Caenorhabditis elegans: one gene and its partners. The protein of the gene in region 1 purifies or fractionates together with the protein of each later gene. This does not show direct contact. Each region holds a gene or a part of one and is shown in the gene's direction. Other genes may lie near its edges.

Region 1 (7,303 bases):
CATACTGTACATAATATGCACTTTTATAACTGTTTCCTCATCAAAAAATATTACCCAAATTTCATAAAACTTTCATTCATGCTTAAAATTTTTTGATTAGTGCAAATATACTTTCCACTTTTGTAAAAATTATCAAATTATTTACGGAAGAAAAACCACCCCCTTGGGTATCTTTTAACGAAACTTGGTTTTTAAATTGTTGGGTCTGTTAAACTTTTTAATTTTCATTGTCATCGTTTCTAAGTCCATTCCAAAACTGTTCATGTTCGGTGTCAGGCACGGCACTACCCATAAACATGAACCTTAACCCTTGACGGGACAGACGGGAGGCCGCTCATAAAATGCACTATACTGCTCAAAGCATCTCTCTCCCCCCGCTTCTCTGTGTCTCTTGGACCATTACACATTTTCGCTGGTCTAATGCCAGGGCAGCCTCGTCCAGTTCCAATAGGTCCTTCTGCCACTCTTCCTCTTTCTTTCCCTTTTACTAACCACCATCTGCCGTGGTTTTCGTTGGCTTTCAATGGCGTGTGCGGCCTAGAACCGTCTTGTACTTTTCAGTATTCATAGATTAGCTGATGGAAAGAGATTATCCCGACCATTATCGTTTCTCATTTTCAGTTTTAGTGCTTGAGAGGATTTAGTGTTTCGTCTAGATCAGGAAGTTCACAGATGCACTTTATTCTTTATTGAAAGATCTTTCGAATTTGCGGAAGTCGTTATTTTGAATTAATCTTGAAAATGCTATTTTTCAAACAGAAATGTATTAGCTTCCTTAAACTATTCATACAAGTTGAAAAATTTTTCAAATACATAGCTGATAGTTTGATTTGTTATTAAATATGCTTCGAAGATTTTAAAAATGACCATTTTTAAACAGTTTGTAGTTATTCAAAACATTGGGCTCACATACCATACAAAGTTTTCAATATTCTAAAGTTTTTATTTTAATTTTGAGTAAGACACCAATTTTTTCTGATGTGTTTTCACAAATTGGTGATAAATTTGAAAATTACGGCTAACTTCCCAGCAACACTTCCTTCGCATTGAATTCATTTTTTGATCGTGTTCATTCCGAATTTTGTTTTTCAGTTTCTGTTCTATTTTGCTTTTTCCTTTTTCCTTCTCCATTCCCTCGTTCACCTTCCCCCTCTTTCTTCCCGAAACATCAATAATTTTCAGAGAAACCTCAAGAAAGTCTCTCAACTCCACTCGTGGCATATGCACTTCAGACGGTGTAGCTGACGACGAGTTTAACATCATTCAGGAATCTAACCAATAGCAATCACTGAGAAAATCATCATCAGCAATCGGGCCAAAATCAACTTTCTCCTCTTCTACTACTATTTGTTCAACTCTTTCTTCTCCACTACCCCTGCCAACTCGAAGAGACGAATCTGTAACCGACTGACAACACCGACGTCCTTCTACCTCCTTCTACCTCTTCCTTACCCTTATTATTGCTTTAAAAGGATACAATAACTAAAGGAACCAGAAGCTTCTACCGCTACTCTTCCCATCTCACTGACCCAACCCAGCGCTTTCAATCCCTCTCATGGCTGCCGAACTGAACAACACCAACACAAATGGTAAGCTTATTTTATTATTACTTATTCTTAACATAAACATCTGTACTAAAGAAGTTATCATAAGATTTATTTCTAACAATTTTTCCTCTTCCATTTTTCCACCAAATCTAATTGCACTTTCCGGGAGATTAATATTCAATCTGAAAAGGTGTCCGGCAACATAATTCCCTGACTTTAACATCAAACATTTCATGAGACTTTGCCATTAGAAAATATTTGTATTCACACATGTGTATAATTTAAAATATTCATTTGTTCACTTTTGGGACAATCCTGTATGTGTTCTTCAATAATGGAAATAATGTTAATTTGCATTAAAAATTGAGAAAGAAATGCCAAGTGTAATTTTTGATATTGAGAAAAATATGTATATTTCTTCAAGATTTTCGACACCACAGAGACTTGATAAAGGTCTTGAAAATAATTATGAGTGTTTTTGAAATGCGAAAAACTGTCTGTGAGAACGTTGATAAATATACTGAAAATAGTGTTTAAAATCAAGTTTAAAATTTTAAAAATTGAGATTGAAAATCGAAAAATATCCAAGTTTCAACATTTCTGAGATAATAAATAAAACTTTTTTGTCAAAGTTCTGATTAGTCTGTAGAAATTTCACTTGGCATAGAACTTGTATGAAATAATTTTCAATAGACTTTCAAATTATGAGAAGTGAAAACTTTCTGTTGACCCTCCTGGCAACAAATAAGCAACTTTTTGGAAATTGTTTTCTATAATATTTAGTGATTAAATAAGTGATTTTGAACAACCTTATGGTGCTTCTCCAATTTTACTATAATTGTTATATTTTTCTAATATTTATGTAGGAATCCTTTCAGAATGAATGGATGAATTAACTACTACTACCAATTTTGCGCATTTAGTTTTTTTTGCAATTCTCAAAATTGTGCCAAAAACAATTCTAAAAATTCTAAAAATCCACATTCACATTCACGACAGTATGCAACCAGATGTGGTGATTTTTACAACCAACACCTTCTCTTTTTGCCTCTCAAATTTCACTTTTGTTTGGAAGCCCTTCTGTTTAGAGTTTATGTCACTTTTCAACTCATACTATTTCCATACGAAAAGTCCGTTGTCTATCTCTCTGCGTTTCCTTCTAATCGCAAATCTATTCCACCCGATCGGACAACTGACCCACATCGATATGTTTAATCGCATCGGCTCTCAGCACTCCGCGCGTTTCTCTCCCTTTCTCTCCACAGACCATCTTTTTCTTTGTTTTGTGAGTCGATCCAACCCGCTCCCGGCAGCCTGCTTCCCCCTGTATTTGGTAGTTTCCAACTCTCTCTCATTTTGCTTGTTCCACTCGCCTCTCTCGCGACACACTATCTCTGCCGTCTCCTGATTTCGCATAGTCTCTTGTTAGTGTACAATAGCGTATAGTACTGGCCACCGAATGTCTGCGTCTCTTGATCTTTCGGAATGCATTCTGTCAGCGCCCGCTTGCGCAGCAGTCCGATTTCCGATTCGTCGTGTCCTCGTCGTCCAGTCGCCGTTGCGTCCTCCTTTGACGTCGCTGCCCGACACTGTTTTACTTTTCTCTTTCTCTTTTCCTCCACCCCGTACCTCACACGAACAACCTGTCGGTTTCCAATCTATATATCGATTTTCTCTTTTTTAAGTTTTGGGTTTGTCTGCATTTGTAGAATTTTTTTCCAAAAATGCATGACGATCTATAAAAAAACCTGAACAATCATTTCACAATACATTCATTTCAGAGTCGTCTAACGTCGCCTCAAACGACCCAATGTCCGGCGGGCCGCAATATTTGCCAGGAGTCATGAATTCTACCATTCAACAGCAACCACAGAGCGCAACATCGTCGTTTCTGCCAAGTGGACCGATTAGTTCGACGTCCACCTCCTCGCAAGTTGTTCCAACATCTGGAGCCACCCAGCAGCCGCCTTTCCCGTCGGCACAAGCGGCTGCGTCAACAGCGCTCCAAAATGATCTAGAAGTAAGTTTTCATCGTTTAAAAACGCAGTGTACACATCTGATATTATCTTGTTATTAGTTTGTAATAATTTTTAAATCTTTGAACTTACACATTGTATTTCAGGAAATATTTAATTCTCCGCCTACTCAGCCACAAACATTTAGCGATGTTCCTCAAAGACAAGCCGGAAGCCTGGCTCCAGGAGTTCCCATTGGTAATACAAGTGTCTCAATTGGAGAACCAGCAAATACACTTGGAGGCGGTTTACCAGGCGGAGCACCGGGACAATTACCTGGGTAAGAAATTTGAAATGTTATGAACTAATACGGTATAATCAAAAAAAAAACCCCCGTGAGAAGCAATAACTGGCAATCATTAATTTTTGATTTCAAAAAAGGGATTTTCGAAAAAATGTGGAATTTTTAAATGTAAATGTTTTCAGCGGCAACCAGAGTGGTATTCAATTCCAATGTCCTCGACGCCCAAACCACGGAGTTGAGGGTCGCTCAATTCTTCTTCGCGCCAACCACTTTGCAGTGAGAATTCCTGGAGGAACTATTCAACACTACCAGGTCGATGTTACTCCAGACAAGTGCCCAAGAAGAGTTAATCGGTAATCATTATTATTCCAAAATGAACTAACTTATTAATTGTATCAATTTTCAGCGAGATTATCAGCTGCTTGATAAGCGCATTCTCCAAGTACTTCACTAATATTCGCCCTGTTTACGATGGAAAGCGCAATATGTACACCCGCGAGCCCCTTCCAATTGGAAGAGAACGTATGGATTTCGATGTCACACTTCCTGGAGACTCCGCCGTTGAGCGTCAATTTTCGGTTTCTTTGAAATGGGTCGGACAAGTTTCTCTCTCCACTCTGGAGGATGCCATGGAAGGAAGAGTTCGCCAGGTTCCATTCGAAGCCGTTCAAGCTATGGATGTCATTCTTCGTCATCTTCCAAGCTTGAAATACACTCCTGTCGGACGTTCATTCTTCTCGCCACCAGTTCCTAATGCTTCTGGAGTCATGGCAGGATCATGCCCTCCCCAGGCTTCTGGAGCTGTCGCAGGAGGTGCCCACTCCGCTGGACAATATCACGCCGAGAGCAAACTCGGGGGTGGCCGTGAAGTCTGGTTTGGATTCCATCAGTCGGTTCGCCCATCTCAGTGGAAAATGATGCTTAACATTGATGTCTCTGCGACTGCTTTCTATCGTTCCATGCCAGTCATTGAGTTCATCGCCGAAGTTTTGGAGCTTCCAGTTCAAGCTCTTGCTGAGCGTCGTGCTCTATCTGATGCTCAACGTGTCAAGTTCACCAAGGAAATTCGTGGTCTCAAAATTGAAATCACCCACTGTGGACAAATGCGCAGAAAGTATCGTGTCTGCAACGTCACTCGTCGTCCAGCTCAAACTCAAACTTTCCCACTTCAATTGGAGACTGGTCAAACTATTGAGTGCACTGTCGCCAAGTATTTCTATGACAAGTACAGAATTCAACTCAAATACCCACACTTGCCATGCCTCCAAGTTGGACAGGAACAAAAGCACACCTACCTGCCACCAGAGGTGTGCAACATTGTTCCAGGACAACGTTGCATCAAGAAGCTTACGGATGTGCAGACATCGACAATGATTAAGGCTACAGCTCGTTCTGCTCCAGAACGTGAGCGTGAGATTTCCAACTTGGTCCGCAAGGCCGAGTTCTCAGCTGATCCATTTGCTCACGAATTCGGAATCACCATCAACCCAGCAATGACTGAAGTCAAGGGACGCGTTCTTTCTGCTCCAAAACTTCTCTACGGTGGACGCACTCGAGCCACCGCTCTCCCGAATCAAGGAGTTTGGGATATGCGTGGAAAACAGTTCCACACTGGAATCGATGTTCGTGTCTGGGCGATCGCTTGTTTTGCTCAACAACAGCATGTCAAGGAGAACGATCTCCGCATGTTCACCAACCAGCTTCAGCGGATTTCCAACGACGCTGGTATGCCAATCGTCGGAAATCCATGCTTCTGCAAGTACGCTGTTGGAGTCGAGCAGGTTGAGCCAATGTTCAAGTACTTGAAACAAAACTACTCTGGAATTCAACTTGTAGTGGTTGTTCTCCCTGGAAAAACTCCAGTTTATGGTATGTAATTTGTTTTTTTTGTTTATTTCTGATTATTTATTTTCTAATTTTTCAGCTGAAGTTAAACGTGTTGGAGACACAGTTTTGGGTATCGCCACCCAGTGCGTGCAAGCCAAGAACGCAATCCGAACAACTCCACAAACTCTTTCTAATTTATGCTTGAAGATGAACGTAAAGCTTGGAGGAGTCAACAGTATTCTGCTTCCAAACGTACGCCCAAGAATCTTCAACGAACCAGTCATTTTCTTTGGATGTGACATCACTCATCCACCAGCAGGAGACTCTCGCAAACCATCCATCGCAGCAGTTGTCGGCTCAATGGATGCTCATCCTAGCAGATATGCTGCAACCGTCCGTGTCCAACAACATCGTCAAGAGATCATCTCAGATTTAACCTACATGGTCCGCGAGCTTCTTGTTCAATTCTACCGCAACACTCGCTTCAAGCCAGCCAGAATCGTTGTCTACCGTGATGGAGTTTCTGAGGGGCAATTCTTCAACGTTCTTCAATATGAGCTTCGCGCGATTCGCGAGGCTTGCATGATGCTTGAAAGAGGATATCAACCAGGAATCACTTTCATCGCCGTCCAAAAGAGACATCACACTCGTCTCTTTGCTGTTGATAAGAAGGATCAAGTCGGAAAAGCATACAATATTCCGCCAGGAACTACTGTCGATGTAGGAATTACCCACCCAACCGAGTTTGACTTCTACTTGTGCTCTCATGCTGGTATTCAAGGAACATCTCGTCCATCCCATTACCATGTTCTTTGGGATGACAACAATCTGACAGCCGACGAACTTCAACAGCTCACATATCAAATGTGCCATACCTACGTCAGATGCACACGATCCGTTTCAATTCCAGCGCCAGCATATTATGCTCATTTGGTAGCGTTCCGCGCTCGTTATCATCTTGTCGATCGCGAGCATGACTCTGGAGAAGGTTCTCAGCCATCTGGAACTTCCGAGGATACCACCTTGTCGAACATGGCTAGAGCTGTGCAGGTAATATTGGCATTTAATTTAGTTTCTATTTGAAAAAAATTAAACACTTTAGGTTCATCCGGATGCCAACAACGTCATGTACTTTGCTTAAACTAGGAATCTGCCTAGGAATCGACTTCATAGATAGCTATTACTCACCAACTTGCTCTAACAGAAGACGAGTATTGAATATTGTCATGTCTACCTAATATCTATCTTGATAATTCTGTGTCTTTATCTGTATCTGTATCTCCATTCAAATTGATTTCAATATGCTACAATGTTATAATGTTTTTCTATAATCGGACTCTTATGTTTTCAAATTCCATATTTAATTTGTAATTCTAATTGCCGCTACCTCTCGTGTAACTGTTTTCTTTCTTCCATCCATTTTTCACTTCCCACAACCAAAATGCCTTTACTTAGTGACTTTTCCTCTCATCCTGGTAGCCTACAAAGCTTCAAAACCCATTTAATATCCTTAATATTTTTCCTCGCAGTTGATTACATTGTCCAAATGCACTGCTGTCGTCTTTCCACCTTGTAACCTCCGAGAGCACCGAGCACTACGACTCCTCTCTTCACACTCACATCTTCTCGCTGAGCAATCATCTTGAAATGCTTCTTTCTTCAACTTACGG
Region 2 (6,691 bases), 2.7 Mb from region 1:
CGGCATCTCTGTGCAACGCGTACTATCTCGACGACCCATCTGTCCAATTGCTACACGCATTCGCGATCTTGTTCCGCGCTGGACCACACTACCAACACTTCCCGCTTGACCCTTTCTCTCTCCCGGAGCCTAATAACACCTGCTTTTTCTACTGGTCGTTTTTTCTTTTATTAATTGCCTCTTTTCTCTCAGCGTGTTTGTTTTTTGTCTTCTATTTTCAATTTTGAAAAAGAAAAACATTTTTCTCGTTATTCAAAAGTTTCTCTTCATGTTTTCTTCTCCGTGTGAAAAACAGTATAGATTTCTCATTCCCAATTCTCTTCCACCTCACCGGGTCACGTGAACTTGATGCGAAGGAAAACAAACCCTCAACTGTCTAGCACTCACAGTTTCTGGTTCCCGAGCGGTGGCGGCACACAAGGTCGAAAAAATTCAGTCACCAAAAATTGATAGCCTCGGCTGTTTTGGCGTGTCAAATTAATGAACACTGTCTTAAGAATTTCAACATAATGTTTCATCTTTTTCCTTTTTAGATTTATCATCTCCTGTTTGAATTTAAATATTTCACAAAGTACAAAAAGTTACGATATAGCCAACTTTTCATAACAGAGAAAAACCACTGTAATGTCAAATTTTCAGAAAATTGGTGAATTTCTGTTAAATATCCTTAGTATCCTCAATTAACAAGTTCCTAATCAATTTCTCTCCGAATCTATTTCCAACCAAAAAGTGTTTCAAGTTTGGCATGTCGCCCGTCCCGCTGTTCATCCCGTCCATCTTCGCTCGTGTGTCCCGTCCATCCCACATATCGAAAATATATTGGTAGTGTGTGTATGTGTGTGTGTGTGTAGAACTGGCCACACAGACGTATATACTGTTAGATACGGGGAGAACCACCAGAGATGAAGAGAAATGGTGGTGAGTGGTCGAGCGCACGTCGATGAGTGTCTATGAGTGCGGTGGTGAGCGCATGAGCGCGTGAGTGTGCGGCGGTGCGGTTTCTCCGTCTCTACACGACATGAAACCCTCTCAGTTGACCCTACGTTCCTTCTTCTCTCTGCACACACACACACATACACACAGCGGTCTCATTGATTCGTGAAAGAAAAAGAGAGAGCGAGAGTGCGGGAGGGTGGTCTGATGAGTGAAGCGTGAGCGGACAGACTCACGGGGGTTAGTAGTAGTGAAGCGAGGAAAAAGTGGAAAGACGGGGAGTTTCCGCTGCGTCTCTCGCCCGGCAAGCAATTTGATGTTGGCCTCTCACTATGAGATGGAGAGAGACAGACAGGGAGAGAAACGCGCAATGTCGTCGCCGGTCGCCTTCTCGCCCTCGATCGGGGTAGCCAGCAGCAGCAGCAGCAGCAGCAGCAGCAGCCCAGCCAACCAGCCTGCGAAGCACCAGACCCCTCTTCTAACTAGTCTCTCTCCTTCTTCTGCTTTTTCCTTCTCCTTTCTCTCTTTCCTGCTTTTTCCTTAACCCCTTGTCCGCCTAGTTCCCACCTAGCCAGCAGCGCCCCGGGGGCTTTTGGGGCCTTTCTTTACAACAGTAGTTATGTAGGTTGTACAAAACTTATTAAATTTTTTAATGTTTACCTTTTTACAGGAGAACGCTTTTTACACTGAACTTGTTTCTATCTAGCAGTATTGCATTAATTAATAGTTTATGCTTTCTAACTTTGACAATGATCTTGTAAAACATAATTTTGCTCAATACTGTTTGAATGGCTTTAGATCATTTTTTATAAAATTTCTATTAAGCTGATACTCCTGGTCCGTAAAATTTTCAATTGCCTTCATGAAATCCTGCTCGTTACGCGGCTAATGTTGTTCGACCAATGTACCCATGTCGAAATCAAATAGTGTTATCAATCAGTCTATCAGTTTCTTTGTTTTCTCTTGTCATCTATCATTTACCATCACGCTCTCGCCAAAACTCATCAATCAATAATATTCCATTTTTTACAGATAAGCTCAAACTCTGATCGCCAGAGCGCGATCAACGCAACCATGGAGAGTCTCGCAAAAAACTTCAACAACATTTCAATAGACGACGCAGCGTGGCATCCTAACGACCAACAGCCTGTATGGGGAAACAACGGTCTCCAGCAGCAACGTGTCTGGGCTCCGCCGGTACCGCAGCCACAGTTCCCAAACAGATCGCCATGGCAACAGGAATCGAACGATATCGGTAATTGGCAATTGTAATCTTGATGACGTAAAAATTGTTTCAGAGCCAAATGTCAACGAAGCCCTTGTTGGACTCAGTGGCACAGGCTCATCAAGTCAAAGCCAATGGGGTGGCATTCAGAATACAGATTATGAGAAACAGATATGGGGTGATCCACCATTGAGCGATGTGCAGTATCCACTTCAACCACATGCCTGTAAGTTCAAATTTGATTAGACGTTATATTTATAAATTTAAATCTATAAATTTTCAGCGTTCGGTGAATTGAATAGTCTTGGAGGTCAATCTGCGCCTTGGTCCATAGGGTCTCAGCCAGCGCACCCGGTTTGGAGTAACGGAGGAATGGGAAAAGAATCTGATGACTTTTGGAAACAGCAACAGCCTCAACAGCATCAGCAATACCCGATGCCATTGCTGCAGGGAGCCTGGAATACAGGCATGAGACATGGACCACCAGGACAAGGACAACGTAGTGGGCCAATGATGCAGCAGCAGCAAGACTACCAAGGGGGATGGGGTGGCCCGAATAACATGGGTGGCAACAAGCAGATGAACCGTCCATGGGGGCAGGACAGCAATCGTGGAATGTCAGGCATGCCGCCCCGAAACGGTCGTCCAAACCACAACCAGGGACGGTACTCTGGCAATATGGGTGGCGGTGTTGACGTTTCAGTTCCACCACCGATGGATATGCACATGGGAGGTGGTATGGGTGGAATGAGAAATATGGGTGTTGCTCCGAATAGTGGACACGGATCATGGAAGAATAACAATGCTGGTGGAGGTCAAGGAGGCCACGGCGGTCAAAGAAACTACAACAACCGTGGTGGAATGGGACACAGTGGAAGCCAGAGTGGCGGAGGATCCAATATGTGGAACAGCACCGGAAACAATGGAAGTGGTGGAAGCATGCAGCAGTTCATGGGAGGAGACCAGCAGTACAACAATCCATTCCCAATCGGCGGAGCTGCTGATGATCTCACACTGACTGTTTGGCATGATCCAAACGGAGAACTCAAGAAATGGCAGAGAGATACTGGAGTGTCCTATTGGGGAGACCCGGAGAAGCAAAGTGAGTTTTTTAAAAAAATATTTCCTTGGTGGGAATTGAATGAAATTCTCCATTGTTTCATGAAAAACTGAAATTAGTCTAAATGTGTTGCTATAGAAATCACCTATTATCGACTATTTTTGCAGCTGACCGTACCATTAGCTTGTGGATTGTTGGCGAAGGTGCCGATGAGGATTTGGAAACTGCATTGAACCGATGTCCAGTACCACAGAAAAAGGTAATATTGTTGTCTTAGGTATTAAATTGAACTTCATGTCTCAGGGAGAGGACAATCAACGTTTCCCATTCCCAGTACCAGCGAAACGGCCAATTGTTGTGACCGGATGGGGAGAGCTTCCAGAAAATGATCCAAACAATCCGTCCAAGAGCGAGTCGACGATATTCGACGAGAACAACAGATGGAACGACTTGACAACTGAGCAAAATCCATGGTATCTTCCGAATCAGCACACTTCAACATTCTCCAGTGACAACACCACTGGATCGTGGGTGCAGGGAGGAACAATTCCACTCAATGAGCCCGGAACCAATCAACACGTGGCTGTGGCGGAGATGCTGAAGAACGCTGTCGACAAGGGATACCTGGACCAGAGCGTGACGATGATGGCCAACTTACCGCCAATGGTGCTGCAGTATGTCAATATGCTGCTCGTCAAAATTCCAGCGTTGGATAGTGTGGAGAATGAGCTGAAGCAGATAATTGAGAGTTCTCTGCCAGAAGATGTGAAAGAGGTTGATCCACAGAATCAACAAAAGTACATGAATGATAGTCAAAAGGTGAGGAAGATTGTCGAGTTTTCAGGTTGTTCAGGATAAAATTATGAAAAATTAAAATAGTAGAAGCCAAAATAATTATCATACTACAACCTATTATTATAGGAAACAAATGAAAGCTAGACATTTTGCTAGAAATTTAAAATATCAACCTTACCAGAAAACTAGCTTAGATCCTGCTTAAACCTAGATTTTAAATTGGGCGGCGGGATAGCTCAGTCGGTAGTGGTGGCCGCTAGCAAGCTGGAAGTCATGAGTTCAAGCCCCCTAGGTTTACCCAGCCTCTATTGAGAAGTGGAGCAATCAACGACTGGATTATCGGTCACGGTCCCCGGCTTGAACGTGGCTCAAATAATAGCCCGGTGGGAGCCCCACCAGACAGTGCACTACGGAACTGAATTCCAGATCCGCAGTGCATAACACCTGAAGTACGGATCGTCCTTTAATCCTTTAATATCAAACTTTTGAAAAATATTAGACGCATCGCTAAGGAGCTCAGATTACTTCAGTTCGATTGCTTGCAAAGATGAATAATATGAATACCAAACAAATCAATTTTCCAGCTTGAACACAATCGTCTCATCATCGAAGTGACGACAGCAAAGATTGAAGTTCAAGAATACTCGAAAAAAGTGAACCGTGCGCTGATGGACGCTGGAATTGTGCAACCGCAGGAGCAACGTGCGCCAGCCTCAACGGAGGACTATCACTACTCGTTCTTAGAATAGATTGTATCGCCCACCGATCTTCTCTCCCACACACGAACAATTATCATCATTACTTTTATTTTGTGTTTCGCACTGTAATCTGAATTTTAAGTTTGGAAATTTGAAATTCAAAGTTTCAGCCTTGTCATCATCATTTCCCATTAACTTGTCTCAGTGACCTTTGACATTTTCTTCAATACTTTTTTACTCTCCCCCTTTCTCTTTAATTTCGTGTGTGTGTGTGTCTGTTTCCTTACTTTATTGCCTCCGGATTTCTATTGTAAACGTGGTCTTGTGAATGTTCTCTCTATCTTGTCGTCTCCTTCCTTCTTTACTGCTGATCAGACGGGGAAAATTACACGTTTTTTGTATTTCACCTCTCGTTTTGCCATCTCCAGATAATCAATTTTTCTTGTTTAAGGGGAGGCTCTCGCCTTTCCCCCTCCCACTAAGAATAATTTGGTGGCTGGTGCTTGGTCTCACAGGGATTCCAGGTTTATGTCTGCCAGTTCATACCTTCTCTTCTCTCTCTCTCATAATAGGGGTCTTTGTTCCAACAATTTCCAACCACGCGTAAATCCATCTTACTTTCCCTTTTCCATAACATCCAAACCTCAAAATATAATAAAGTCCATATTAATCAAAATACTGTATTTCTTTTTTTAAATTGTATCCTTTCGAAAATATAATTCAGTTTTTGGGGCTATTTCCACTAAAACTGCACTTTCTGCAGAGCCTCTGCGAGCATTTTCACCCCACTACTCTTAATCCCCCACGTTCACTTTTCAATCAAGCTATTCCCATTTTTAATTTGAATCAAAATTTCTGTGTATGCTTTGCTTCCAAACGTCATTTGTAATCTGGGTCTTTTCTACGTCATTCTTTACAGTTTCAATGTGCTAATGTCTCCCGTCTCTTGTCTCTTTTTGCTCTCACCCTCACTCACTAAGTTCCAACCAAAAATTGTGATGAAATTATCCCTGAAAACTTGTCAAAATTGGTTCAATCAGCTACATGCGCACACTTTGAAAATCATACAAAAATAAATACAAGAAACGCCTTTCTAAACGATACATAAACTCGTCGTCCCGGCAGCATTTCCCTAGAAACCAGGTCAATTCCTAGTACGGCCCTTTTCCGAATTCTCGCTCTCAATTTCAAACAAAATGGTGTTCTCATTTCATTGTCTTCTTCTCCAAACTTACCGGACTTCAAATAAACTCATTATGTGCAGTACAGTTTCACAATTCGGGACCCTCTCTCTTCCAGAAATTTGTCAATTCCCCTCTCTCATTTCTCACTCCGGCTCTCAAAAATCTTGATTAAATCTCGCATGAACATGTAATAATCAAAACTGTTTTCTTATCTCTTACCATACTTTACTTGTAACACCCATGCCGTCCAACATCACCTTTGGTTCTATTCTCGTATAATAAAACGTTGTGAATTAAACTCTGGAATGTTCAATTTTAGGGAGCAGAAATGAAATAGCACTGTTTCTGTATTTATTTTAATATTTATTTCAAGTTTTAGGTTTGAGTGTATGATAGAAACACAATTAATATTTTGTATTCAAAATAGCCAATTTGTTCAGCAACCGCTTTTTGGTATCACCTGTGCAGCCAGAAACCATTTCTCGTAAAATAAAAGCTTGTCAAAAAGATTCTCCCCGGCCGGGAATTGAACCAGGGTCTCGCATGTGACAGACGCGGATACTCACCACTATACTACCGAGGACACATTTTTCAAAGAATTCGGAGGCTTTCAAAATCATTAATGTAAGTTGAAACCAGATTTACTCTGCAATTCTTACTTAAATTGTAGCATTTTGGCCGACTAATAGTATGTAAAATAAATATGAAAAAACAAACATAAAATAATTTGACAGTTGACCTTGTCGCATTAAAACCAAAAGTATACAAAATATAAGCTGCCAATGATGCATGAGCA
Region 3 (4,666 bases), on another chromosome or scaffold:
AACTCCACAAACTTTATGCATAACCACGCAACTATTGTCCATTTCACGAAGAGATTCTACGCACGCCGCATAAGCTTTCAAAATGTCTTTTGTATCAACCGCTGAAATTTTAAATATTTAAGTTTTAAATAATTCCCCTCACCAACTTACATGCAACAAGAAGTTTTGTGTTAACTTGATCTATCAAGTAATTTGTGAAATCGACTCTCCCATGATTATTAGTTCTCAAAAGGCAATATTTCATTGTGATGAGACTGCGAAATTTTACTGGAAAATCTACGGCGATCATTTCATATGCCTACAAAAAATATTTTTTAGGTTCCAAATTTTTTTAAAAACTCACGTTTTTGGAAAGCATTTGGAAGACATCTTTGTAAATAGTGTCACTAATTAAATGGAATGCGTCTTGCATTGTTACTTGATCTGACCAAATCCTCAGACTCTCCATAATTTCTTGAAACATTGAACATCTCAGCTCATTGTCAAAAGCCGCTTTCTCGTGCATCACCAATGTTGCAGCAAGCTCGCGAATATACACTGAAAGTGCTGCGTTCATGTGACGATTTGCATTGAGAATTCCAGTTTTTCTGAAAATGTTATATATAATTTAGGAAGTCAGGCTTTACCCACAATTCATTGACAAAAGGATTAAAATCTTGAACATATTGCCCGCATATTTCTTTTTTTTCTGGTGTCCACAGCTCTTGGTTTAAATCGATTCCATGATCGATTTTTCGATGAGGAAGGTACATGGCAACTGAAAAATGTTATTGGAAACTGGGGCTGAATGAAAAAAAAATACGTCTGTAATTAGTGAAGTGCGACATAAAATAAGGTCTGAGAACTTTGATAACAACTTTCTGCATGGCCAGTGGGAAGATGAGCTCTGCAGCATCGCGAATATCCGGTTGACCAACGCCTTTTTCCAATGCAAACTGAAATTATTTTCCATTAGCTTGTTACACCTCTATTTTCTGACCGTTTTCCATAAGGAGAAGATTTTTCAGAGCATTTAATTGAGAATAAGGCTAATTTGTTCTTGATTGGATTTAAAAATTTTAAAACTCACCATCAGGCATTCTTGCTGTACTCGTTGCAGAACTGTCGTCATATCATAAACTTTTTCAATATTTTTTGCGTATTTTGCGTGATATATCAGAGCATCCCAGACTTCTTTTTTCTTTGAGACGCAAAATTGTCTGAAAACTGTCTTTACGGAACTCATTTTCAAAAATTCCATACCTGTACTTCATCGCAGCCTCTTTCGAAGTAGTCATTCTGTCAAAAATGGACATTTTCGAAATGGTTAAAATAATTTCAGCAAGGATACGAGAAGAGAACGATGACAAATGTGTGAGAAACTGTATATATTAAAGGATCATGCTTAAAACGAAGGTTGGGGTCTCGGAAACTACATTTCCACAAAAACCGCGAATAAATGTTCCTTTAAAAATTATACGAAAAAATGTTTGTTTCTTTTTTTTCACACGATTTTTCAGAGTATTTTCTTTCAAATTTCTGTCGATTCCACTTTTCCTCCGTCTTTTGAATGTTCCCATGAAAGAGACATAGACATTGGTTCAGTAGAGCGCATACTACGGGGCAGTCAGCGGCAATTATTTTTTATTGTAATTTTTGAACATTATCAATTTTCCCTGTTTTCAGACCAATAATGGTCAGGGTAAGAGCTGATTTACAATGTTTTAACCCCAGGGACTACCAGGTAATTTTTAAGTAGCAAAATAAATTAAAAATAATCGATTTTCAGGTGGAACTTTTGGATAAAGCGACAAAAAAGAACACAATCGTCCAACTAGGCACTGGTTCAGGAAAAACTTTCATTGCAGTTCTACTGCTGAAAGAATATGGAGTTCAATTGTTTGCACCATTGGATCAGGGTGGAAAACGAGCGTTTTTTGTTGTAGAGAAAGGTAATTTCGTCTATTAAAAATAAGCCAGCTGGCCAGTAAAGTGAATAATTGACAAAAAAAAACAAGATTTATTCTAAAACATCATTTTTTCCAGTAAACCTCGTTGAACAACAAGCTATCCACATCGAAGTTCACACAAGTTTCAAAGTTGGTCAGGTCCACGGACAGACAAGTAGTGGTTTATGGGACAGCAAAGAACAATGTGATCAGTTCATGAAGAGGCACCATGTGAGTGAGAATACGAAGCTGAACTATCGAGCATATATATTTCAGGTTGTTGTGATCACAGCTCAATGCCTTCTTGATTTGATTCGACATGCGTACTTGAAAATTGAAGACATGTGTGTTCTGATCTTTGACGAATGTCATCATGCTCTCGGTTCTCAACATCCATACAGAAGCATCATGGTCGATTATAAGTTATTGAAAAAGGGTAAGTATTGAGGAATTAATGGTGAAACTTCGAATTCGCTTCAAAATACGGAAATATTTTTTCAGACAAACCCGTCCCACGTGTATTAGGACTCACAGCCAGTCTTATCAAAGCGAAAGTTGCGCCGGAAAAACTAATGGAACAGTTAAAAAAGTTGGAATCTGCGATGGACAGTGTTATAGAGACAGCTAGTGATTTAGTCTCGGTATGATTTAAAAAAGACAAACAAAGACTTGTTTCCAATAAAACTAATTTAGCTCTCGAAATACGGTGCGAAACCCTATGAAGTTGTGATCATCTGCAAAGACTTTGAAATTGGGTGCCTGGGTATTCCGAATTTCGACACAGTTATAGAAATATTTGATGAAACTGTAGCCTTTGTGAACACCACAACAGAATTTCATCCAGATCTAGATTTGGATCCTCGTAGACCGATTAAAGATTCTCTCAAGACGACGCGAGCTGTTTTTCGTCAACTGGGACCTTGGGCGGCATGGCGAACGGCTCAAGTTTGGGAGAAAGAGTTGGGAAAAATTATAAAATCTCAAGTGCTACCGGATAAGACGTTGCGGTTTTTGAATATGGCAAAAACATCTATGATTACGATTAAAAGATTGTTGGAACCGGAGGTGCGTACCTAACAAGAGACGTTGGAAAATGGTACCTCGAAGTATCGTTATGGTATAGCAATTTTTCGACAAAAAAGTGTTATCATTCGAAAAAGTTCGTAACTCCCTACTCACCAAGAGAGCTACAAATCTTGAGCAAGATTTCAAATTGTAAGATTGTAGCTCAATTCATGGCTTTTTGAGAATTATGGGCTGAAGCTTGAATGCTATATGTTTTTTAAAAACAATTTACGAATATTTGGAAACACTTTTTTTAAGTTGAAAGTTTTTTCAAAAGGGGTGAAACTGCTCGGACGCAGCTGAATTTTTGGAATGATCCTCAATAACACTTTTAATCTAAAATTACTATTCTATATTGAACTCCAAGTTAGCATTTTCCAACTTCCAGTGTAAGCAATCAACTATTAATTACACCAATTTTTTCCAATTTAGATGAAGAAAATCAAAAGTATTGAAGCTCTCCGTCCATATGTTCCTCAACGTGTCATACGTCTTTTCGAAATCCTAGAAACTTTCAACCCCGAATTTCAAAAAGAACGAATGAAGTTAGAAAAAGCAGAACATTTATCAGCCATTATTTTTGTCGATCAACGGTACATTGCATATTCGTTACTTGTAGGTTTATATGAATGTTACGGTAATATATTGTAAATTTTCAGCTTATGATGCGTCATATTAAATCATGGGAGCCTAAGTTCAAGTTTGTGAACCCGGATTACGTCGTTGGAGCCAGCGGACGAAATTTGGCGAGTTCGGATAGTCAAGGATTACATAAACGACAAACTGAAGTAAATTTATGTTTAAATTATCATTGTCTAAATATAATTTTTAGGTTCTTCGCCGTTTCCATCGAAATGAAATCAATTGTCTTATCGCTACATCAGTGCTTGAAGAAGGTGTAGATGTTAAACAATGTAATCTTGTGATTAAATTTGATCGACCACTTGACATGAGATCATACGTTCAGTCAAAGGGAAGAGCTCGGCGAGCTGGATCAAGATATGTTATCACTGTTGAGGAGAAAGATACTGCGGCGTGTGATAGTGATTTGAAAGATTTCCAGCAAATAGAAAAAGTAATATTGGAATCTTCAGTTCAATTGTTTAAAAAATGATATTAAGATTCTTCTTAGCCGCCATCGTACAGTCAACAATCCTATTGAAGATGATTCGGATAGATTTGAAGAATTTGATGTTGATTCTCAAATGGAACCATATGTTGTTGAAAAAACTGGTGCAACATTGAAAATGTCAACTGCTATCGCATTAATTAATAGGTATATTAATAATTTCACTTTAGAAGTTTAATCCAACAGCTAAATACAAACAATTGGTAATCTTCCAGATATTGTTCGAAGCTTCCTTCCGATATCTTCACTCGTCTTGTTCCACACAATCAAATCATTCCAATTGAAGAGAATGGAGTGACCAAATACTGTGCAGAGCTTCTTCTTCCAATTAACTCACCGATCAAACATGCAATTGTGCTCAAAAATCCAATGCCAAATAAGAAGACTGCACAGATGGCAGTTGCACTTGAAGCATGTCGACAATTACATTTAGAAGGAGAACTCGATGATAATTTACTTCCAAAAGGAAGAGAGTCGATTGCCAAATTATTAGAACATATTGATGAGGAGCCGGATGAGTATGCACCTGGAATTGCTGCTAAAG

What was found.
Region 2: the proteins of alg-1 (region 1) and ain-1 purify together in Caenorhabditis elegans (affinity purification with western blotting; 8 studies listed by BioGRID, with this or other methods). This does not show direct contact.
Region 3: the proteins of alg-1 (region 1) and dcr-1 purify together in Caenorhabditis elegans (affinity purification with western blotting; 6 studies listed by BioGRID, with this or other methods). This does not show direct contact.

What each region holds. Positions count from the first base shown.
Region 1 is NC_003284.9:13,947,934-13,955,236, forward strand, and holds alg-1 (Protein argonaute-1), read left to right. Parts: upstream 1-1,555; coding exon 1,556-1,589; intron 1,590-3,328; coding exon 3,329-3,567; intron 3,568-3,669; coding exon 3,670-3,842; intron 3,843-3,988; coding exon 3,989-4,159; intron 4,160-4,212; coding exon 4,213-5,675; intron 5,676-5,730; coding exon 5,731-6,683; intron 6,684-6,735; coding exon 6,736-6,774; downstream 6,775-7,303.
Region 2 is NC_003284.9:16,611,486-16,618,176, forward strand, and holds ain-1 (ALG-1 INteracting protein), read left to right. Parts: upstream 1-1,965; 5' UTR 1,966-2,007; coding exon 2,008-2,188; intron 2,189-2,231; coding exon 2,232-2,384; intron 2,385-2,441; coding exon 2,442-3,260; intron 3,261-3,385; coding exon 3,386-3,477; intron 3,478-3,521; coding exon 3,522-4,037; intron 4,038-4,386; exon of another isoform or gene 4,387-4,535; intron 4,536-4,597; coding exon 4,598-4,762; 3' UTR 4,763-6,190; downstream 6,191-6,691.
Region 3 is NC_003281.10:8,077,281-8,081,946, reverse strand, and holds the start of dcr-1 (Death-promoting deoxyribonuclease), read left to right. Parts: upstream 1-1,665; 5' UTR 1,666-1,672; coding exon 1,673-1,723; intron 1,724-1,768; coding exon 1,769-1,931; intron 1,932-2,025; coding exon 2,026-2,159; intron 2,160-2,204; coding exon 2,205-2,364; intron 2,365-2,429; coding exon 2,430-2,569; intron 2,570-2,621; coding exon 2,622-2,993; intron 2,994-3,425; coding exon 3,426-3,608; intron 3,609-3,652; coding exon 3,653-3,781; intron 3,782-3,825; coding exon 3,826-4,068; intron 4,069-4,114; coding exon 4,115-4,269; intron 4,270-4,337; coding exon 4,338-4,666. Other genes in the region: apc-2 (Anaphase-promoting complex subunit 2), read right to left, coding at 1-101, 151-298, 344-587, 631-757, 803-935, 1,070-1,199, 1,243-1,295. UniProt on the Caenorhabditis elegans protein: Component of the ERI/DICER complex which is involved in processing amplified double-stranded RNA (dsRNA) intermediates during small-RNA-mediated gene-silencing or RNA interference (RNAi). Involved in cleaving dsRNA in the RNAi pathway.